2 linked regions of the Tribolium castaneum genome follow. The protein of the gene in region 1 purifies or fractionates together with the protein of each later gene. This does not show direct contact. Links are inferred from orthologs where the notes say so. Each region holds a gene or a part of one and is shown on either strand. Other genes may lie near its edges.

Region 1 (3,756 bases):
TTTCAACAATGTTGAAACATTTGATGTTTTAAAAAATTAAATAGTCTCCAGGTGGTAAGTGTAATTAGTATTTTTGGTTTCATCTTAGAACATGTCAGAAAAAAACCCACTGTTGACTCCTTGTATTGTACGAAAGACTGTAACTTAGGAAACAAAACGAGATACAAACTTGCCGGTTTTTCTGAATACAAAAAAATAGTACGGCTGAGTAAAAATGTGAGCGCTTAAAATTTTCATAAGAAACATAAAAAAATTCAATCTGCGTTCCACCTCATATTCCTGCAAACTCTGCAAATACGGGTGAAGATACAAATAAAGTGTGAAGAATAAAATTATAAAGAATTAAATTTTCTTCAAAAAAGTCCGGAGACCATATTCCTATCTTTAACGGTTTTGGTTTTAATAGTCTATCTGGTACTTGACTACCGGGAAAATAAAATAAATCCGTCGTTTGGGTGTATTTAAACGAGTTTGGGATAGAACATAAGGCTTTTTTGTAGGAAATTTAATTCTCTACAACTTTCTTTTTAACTGTTAAAAATATGGTGCATTTTTTAACATAGTTTTCGAAAAAAAATTGTATTATGTTTATGTTTTGTTTCATTCATTGTACTGAAAACTGCGCTCTCTGACGACATTAACGGAACTATCAAGGACGGGAACGTTTTATTTGTACGTCGTATCATATCCTAATCCTTAGATATCCGTAGTTATGACAATGTTAAAAAAGTTATTAATTTTTTCCTATTTATCATCAAGTAGAAAAACTTAATTTTGTGTTGTATTTTGTATTTTATTTCACAAACCAAAAATGCATTAAACTTCTTTTTAAAATAAATTAGTTATTACTTATTAATTTCACTATTATTAGAGCAGACCTTAAACGTAATGTGTATTGTTAGTTGCATTTTAAAAGTGTAAAATTTTGAAGATGTAATGTAATTGTAATACGACTCTAAAATTTAAAAATGTGAAAACAAACGTATAATAATATGCTTAAGCAAACACATTTTGCTGTCTCTAGGCGTCAGTTTTTCATTTACTCTGTATAGTGTATAGTTAGTGGCCTACCTTTTAATTCAAATATTCACTGTTGATCTTTTGTAAGTTTTGCAATTAAAGTAAGCAAATATTTATTTTTTTAACTACAAAAACCTCAAGGACACATTTAATTAACGGTTTTGCACCTTTTTAAACAATGGCTCATAGTAAGTTTTTTTATTTTATTATTAGATAAAACGTAATTTTGATAACTACACAGGTAATTACTAATTACTACTACTAAAATTTATACAAATAAGTGCCTGTATTATTAATTTGTAGTAATTTTAAGTCGATGAGTGCGTAAAAATTTTCCACATTACAAAATGGAATTTTTCCCTCGTATTCGAGGAACGACCAATCAAATACGAGAGTCGTAGTAAATTTCCACCTGACCAGTTGGTAGCACTTTTTCCAATTTTCAAATTGTCACGATGGCTTCGTACGAAGAGTGGTGTGAAGAAAAATTATCAAGACTTTCCGATGAAGATTCGCGAATTCCAGTATTAAAAGAAATGAAAGACTTCCTGACTACAATCCCGCGTGAGGAAATGTCCCGAACAGCCAACTCCCTGCAACTCCCTGCAGTTTTCGACTGTCTAAACGACTCAAACAGGTAACCTAACCTCAAAAGTGCTGCGTCAACAATAACAATAATATCAATTTTCGTAGTGAACAGGTCGATTTAGCTTGCGAAGTCCTCGCACTTTGTATGACGAATTTAAATTTAGGCGAAAGCACGAATAAATACGGCGTTTTTTTAGAAAGAGCTTTAAATCATCCATTTTCTGCGGTTAAGCTCATGGCTTTAAATGAGATTAAACGTAATATTGAAAACGAGGACATTCTTGTCGACCTGTGCAAAAGACAGTCGCTTTTAATCAATATTATTAAGTGCATGGGGGACGAGGATCTGGGGGTTGCTAAGGGGGCGGCAGGGGTTATCAAAATTTTGGGGCTGTCGAGCGTGGGGATCAAGCAGTTGACCAAGGCTGATATTTTGCAGTCGTTGCACGATATTATGGGACTGAGCGAAATTGTCAGGTTTAGAGTTTATGAGGTATGAGTAAAATCCATATCCAAAAGTAACGCACAAAAATCATATCTTTGTTATTAAAAAAAAACACCAATGAGTCGAATTTATTTTCGAAAGAGAATATGGACACTGGACAGCTTTAACCAGGAATTAATTTTTATGAAAGCTTCATTCCAACGTTTTTAGTACTTTTTTTTATCATTTTTAATAAAATTTATTAAATAAAATTAAAAATTTTACAGCCCTTAAGAAGTTATAGAATAAGCAATTTTGTTTGGATGTTTTTAATATCAGCTTGTTCCAATTAAACTTTGTTAGTGATAGTAAAACAATTATAAACATTAACAAAGAAATAATTCTAAATAGAAAAACTATTCAAAATATTTATTTTCATTATTTATTTTTAAAGATACACCAAAATTCTGTTTGTTTCTTTAGCTCACCTGGACAGGTTTAACCAGGAACTAATTTTTATGAAGGCTTTATTCCAACATTTTTAATAATTTTTTTTATCATTTTTCATAAAATTTATTAAATAAAATTGAAATTTTTACAACCGTTAAGAAGTTATAGAAGAAGCAATTTTGTTTGGATGTTTTTAATATCAGCTTGTTCCAATTAAACTTTGTTATTGATAGTCAAACAATTATAAACATTAACAAAGAAATAATTCTAAATAGAAAAACTATTCAAAATATTTATTTTTATTTATTTTTAAAGATTCACCAAAATTCTGTTTGTTTCTTTAGTTCACCTGACCAGGTAGACTTTAAACAATTTAAAATAAATTGCAGAAAAGAAGTGCAACATTGAAAAAGTTTATTACAGTAATGATGTAATCATACAGGGTGTCTCAAAGTTCCGAAAAAGCTCCATAACTTGTTTACTATTAAAGATATTGCCTTTTTCTTTTTTTAGATTATTGCTGTGTTTTTGTGTATGTTTTCAAAATATTGCAGTGTATATATGGGCTGTTCCAATATTAACAAAACACTAAAGTTATGTTTTTTCAAATGGAACACCCTAAATTTGATTGCATTTTTGTTTGTAGATTTTAATACTGATGATTGACAAAAACACTCTTTTTTCAAAAAATCATTACATAAAAGCTAAAAATCTCAGAAAAGAAGAACTTTCACCACATTAAAAAAGAAAGTTCAAACTTAAAGGATATGTTATTCTTATTAGCTTTATTATTTAAGAAGATAAAAAATGGAGACGTTTGTTGCAAGTTGAATGACTTCAAAATTTTAAATGGAACACCCAATTTTTTATTTTTGCATTTAAAAGACCATTAAATTGTCTCTCTAAAAACATTAACAGTTAAGTGTCTTTTGCTAATTACACAAAATATATTTAAAATTAAACATAAAAAAAATTATTAAAAAAATGTTTTGATAAATATTTGATCATTTAAAAGGTTTCAAATGTAGTAAAATTTGTTTAAACAAGCGTAAATACGAGGACAAATAGTATAAATAAAACAATTTCACTGAAATTCAAATATTAAAAAAATATCACCCCTTATTTATAAAATTAGACAAGAAGTGAAAATAAAAGCCCTGGTGTGAAATTTTCAATAACATTTTTTTATTTATTTTCTTTCTTTTTTTACTTTTTTACTGCATTGTTTTATACTTACCAATATATCTACTATTAAAAATAGCAAATGAAATCAA
Region 2 (3,756 bases), on another chromosome or scaffold:
TTTTTCAAGCAAGTAAACACGTGTTTAAAGTTATGTTGTCAGTTTCTTGTGAGAAGCAGAGTAAAACATCACTTTTTTCCAAATGTTTTATTTTAAAAAGGTTTACAGCCAGAAAAGGAATTATCGCTCAATATTATTAAAAACAAACCAAAATTTCACAATTTTCGGTGTGAATTTTGCATTTTTCGCATTTTTAAACACGTTTTGAGTTAAAAATTTAGTTTTTTTAAGAAAAATTTAAAAAAAGTAGGTTTTTTGAACAAAAGATTTATTATTTATTGCATAAATATTGTGACCACAATAAATTTTGGTCACAAGTCATGTTATTTCTGCCTTTTTTTAACCTTTGAGCAAGTTTTAGAGCTATAATCTAATTTTTTTTCGTCATTTCGCGAAAAAAGAGCCAGTTTTTCAGCCAGAAACACAATTATTTCGCAAAATTTCGCAAAATAATTAGAAACTGATGTTAGTTTCTCCCGATTTGGCTCGATTTTAAGCGGAATTTCTTCAAATTAAGCCGAAAAATTACAACATTTGATCCAAAACAACGATCAGTTCTTGAATTAAAATTTTAAGTTTAAAGATATTGCTAAAACAAATAGAAAAATCACCAAATTAAAACACAAAGTACTCAATGTTTTGCTTTTTTGAGTGTTTAGCACGTTTTTGAGTAAGAAACGAAAATATTTCATATTTATTTGAACCAAACTAAAAAATCAATAAAATTTCGCCAAAATAAATTGATTTTTGCTTTTTTCAGATAATTAATAATTAGCGAAAAATTTCGCTAATTAGCTAAAAAATTGCCAAATTTGATCGTAATTGATAGTAATTTAAAACTCATCAAATACAGCAACTTTTCTATACAACATTTTGCAAAATTCTTATTTAAAATTTTCATTGTTTTCCTCCTTTCTCTTCTGCAAACGAGCCGATCATTGTTTAATAATTGGTTTGTATTCTTTCCATTCTTGTTTTAAATTGTTTAAATTGTCTGTTTCTATCACAACGAAAATAGTTCAGCTCTTTTATTTTTGAACCCATAGGCACAAGTTTCATTATGATCTTTTTCCAAATTTTATGTAAATATGCGATTTTTATATTGAAAAATTACAAATAGAAAAGATGTTTTATTTGTTGAGTTCTGTTACCTGTTAAAATTAAGACACGTATTTCTGATACAGCCTGTATTTTGTAAAAACTTGTCAAAACACACCTCAAATTTAAAACAGTATTCTAACAAAATAAAATACAAATCTCTGTTTTACTGTGTTTGTTACTTATACGCCAAATTGTAATTTATTTATTTCATTTTTTTATCTTCTCTTAAAATGTTGGAACGTCACAACGAAATTAACTCAAAATTGTTTATTTATAATTCAATTACCTTAAGTCAGCGCCATTGAACGTGTCAGACAGCTTAACAATCGCTTCATAATCAATTTCCCCATGTTTCGCTATAGGCCCAGCATGGATTTTCAAAATTTCAAGTCGGGCTTGTTCATTAGGAAGCGGGATTTCAATTTTACGATCCAGACGACCTGGACGCAACAAAGCAGGATCCAAAGTATCGGGCCTATTCGTGGCCATAATCATTTTAACCTGAAATCAATACACAAATGAACAACTCCCAAAATTTCTCTCAAACCGAACTGACTTGACCAAGAGAATCAAACCCATCCATCTGATTCAACAACTCCATCAAAGTCCGCTGAATTTCCCGATCAGCTGACGTCCCCTCGGAAAACCTCCGACCCCCAATAGCATCGATCTCATCCATGAAAATAATGCAAGGCTGATGATCTTTCGCATAATTAAACATTTCTCGAATGAGTCGAGCCGACTCTCCAATGTATTTATCAACGATAGCACTTGAGACAACTTTGAGGAAATTTGCGTCCAGCTGTGAGGCCACAGCCCGGGCTAGGAGGGTTTTGCCAGTGCCTGGGGGGCCGTACAGGAGACAACCTTTCGGGGGGGTTATGCCCACCCTCATGAACAGTTCGGGGTTCATGAGGGGCAACTCTATGACTTCACGGAGCTCGCGAATTTGCTCGGACAAACCACCAATTGCCGAGTATGTGACATCGCCGGGGTCCTCATGACTCATGTTGTAAACAAGGGGGTCGACTTCTCGGGGCAAATAACGCATTATTGTCAACGTGGTCATGTCGAGAGCAACACGAGTCCCTGCTTTCAACTTGGTCTTATCAAGTTGCCGGCGACAGCCCACCACGTAACGGGGGCCATTCGTTGCCTTAACAATAACTAAAAAGCACTCTTGTTGATTACTGTTTTCACAAAAGAGAAACTCACATTTCTCCTCAGTTAGCTGTTTCAAAACCTCGCCAACAATTTGGCCCATGCTTTGCAGCGCCTTAAGGTCATTCTCTGACTTGTCGTATTGTTTTGTTAGGTCTTTTAACTGTTCTCGCACTGTTTAACAATTAGTAAAACAAATAAGTTAGAGGAGAGTGACTTACTCTCTTTCAAGCGAGACTCGACTTCTTTGTGTTCCACAAGTTTTTTCCGGTATTCCTGGAGGCTTTTCTCGCGTTCGGGCTCAGTTTGTGTCATTTTGACTCACTTTTTAGTCAGGATTTTCGAAAGTTATTTCACTAAAGGCACAATGACTGGCAGAACACCACAACACCGCACTTTTGGTTTTGACAGCAGGTAGGGAAATTTAATTTTTTCAAACATCGGCCAGAGTCGCCAACCTAGTGAATGCTTCAGTTTTACGGAATTTTGAAAGAACTTTTTTGTAACACAAGACATCTGTTTTAATTCTGTTCTGTAGGGAAAGAGGTCGTGTTACAAAATAATATTATCATATATTTTAAATACAAGGTGATTAAATTTAAGTAAGATGCAACCAACAATACACATTACATTTGAGGATTGCTCTAATTCTAATTAGTCAAAATAATAACTAATATTAATGTGTGCAGCGAGAATCAGGACCGCGCCAACGTACTAAAGAGTTAAGAAAAATTTCATTTTTGGCCAAAACAGTTTTTTCTTTATAAAAAAAAGTTGTTACTCCGAGTGCGTGTTTTTAGGCGACCGAAAAAAGCATACATTTTCAACCCATTGCAATAAAATTCTTGATATTTTTTTAAGAAATTTTGTGAAATAATCGATCATCTGATTAAATTGCATTTTCGTTTCGCTCTTAAACGTAAAATCATCAATGTTTTTAAACCAATTATACGATTTTTCAGTTTGTTTTTATCGAAATTTTGCAAAAAATGTGTCTTCAAATAAAAAACTATCAAATAATGCGAAGTAATACGTTTTTTTTTGCAAAAATTTAAGCATAAAAAAATATAACATTTTTTTATTCAATTTTATGATTTTTTTATTTTTACTTAATTTTATTTTATTCTAAATAATTGCGTTTTTTAGTACATTTTTCGACCGTTTTGTTGAAATATTTTTGGACAATTTTAAAAAATTTCGCTTGGTTATTTGTGAAAATTCATTAAACAACTGCGTTTTTGAATCAAAATGGGTTAAAATATCACAAAAATTAAAATAATCTACTTTTTATGCAATTTAATGAGTTTTTGGTTCATTTTAAAGAAATTTTGCAAAATAATTGCGTTTCTATAAAACGGGGTAAAACGCTTGAGGTAGCCAAATTAAATTAATAATTTATTAATATTGTAAATATTAAATGTTTACCGAATTTTTGAAATCTTGTGTTCAACTCGTCAGGAAAACTGATTTTTTTCTATTCATAACGTGTTTTTA

The links. Proteins that work in one complex are often made in the same cells at the same time.
Region 2: the proteins of 26S proteasome non-ATPase regulatory subunit 5 (region 1) and Rpt4 purify together in Homo sapiens (co-immunoprecipitation; 4 studies listed by BioGRID and IntAct, counting the BioPlex papers as one, with this or other methods). This does not show direct contact. The link is inferred for Tribolium castaneum from reciprocal best matches to the Homo sapiens genes PSMD5 and PSMC6.

What each region holds. Positions count from the first base shown.
Region 1 is NC_087400.1:8,010,988-8,014,743, forward strand, and holds the start of 26S proteasome non-ATPase regulatory subunit 5, read left to right. Parts: upstream 1-1,440; 5' UTR 1,441-1,475; coding exon 1,476-1,657; intron 1,658-1,713; coding exon 1,714-2,101; intron 2,102-3,756. UniProt on the Homo sapiens protein: Acts as a chaperone during the assembly of the 26S proteasome, specifically of the base subcomplex of the PA700/19S regulatory complex (RC).
Region 2 is NC_087394.1:9,241,449-9,245,204, forward strand, and holds the start of Rpt4 (26S proteasome regulatory subunit 10B), read right to left. Parts: upstream 2,708-3,756; 5' UTR 2,578-2,707; coding exon 2,484-2,577; intron 2,437-2,483; coding exon 2,317-2,436; intron 2,269-2,316; coding exon 1,658-2,268; intron 1,603-1,657; coding exon 1,388-1,602; intron 1-1,387. UniProt on the Homo sapiens protein: Component of the 26S proteasome, a multiprotein complex involved in the ATP-dependent degradation of ubiquitinated proteins.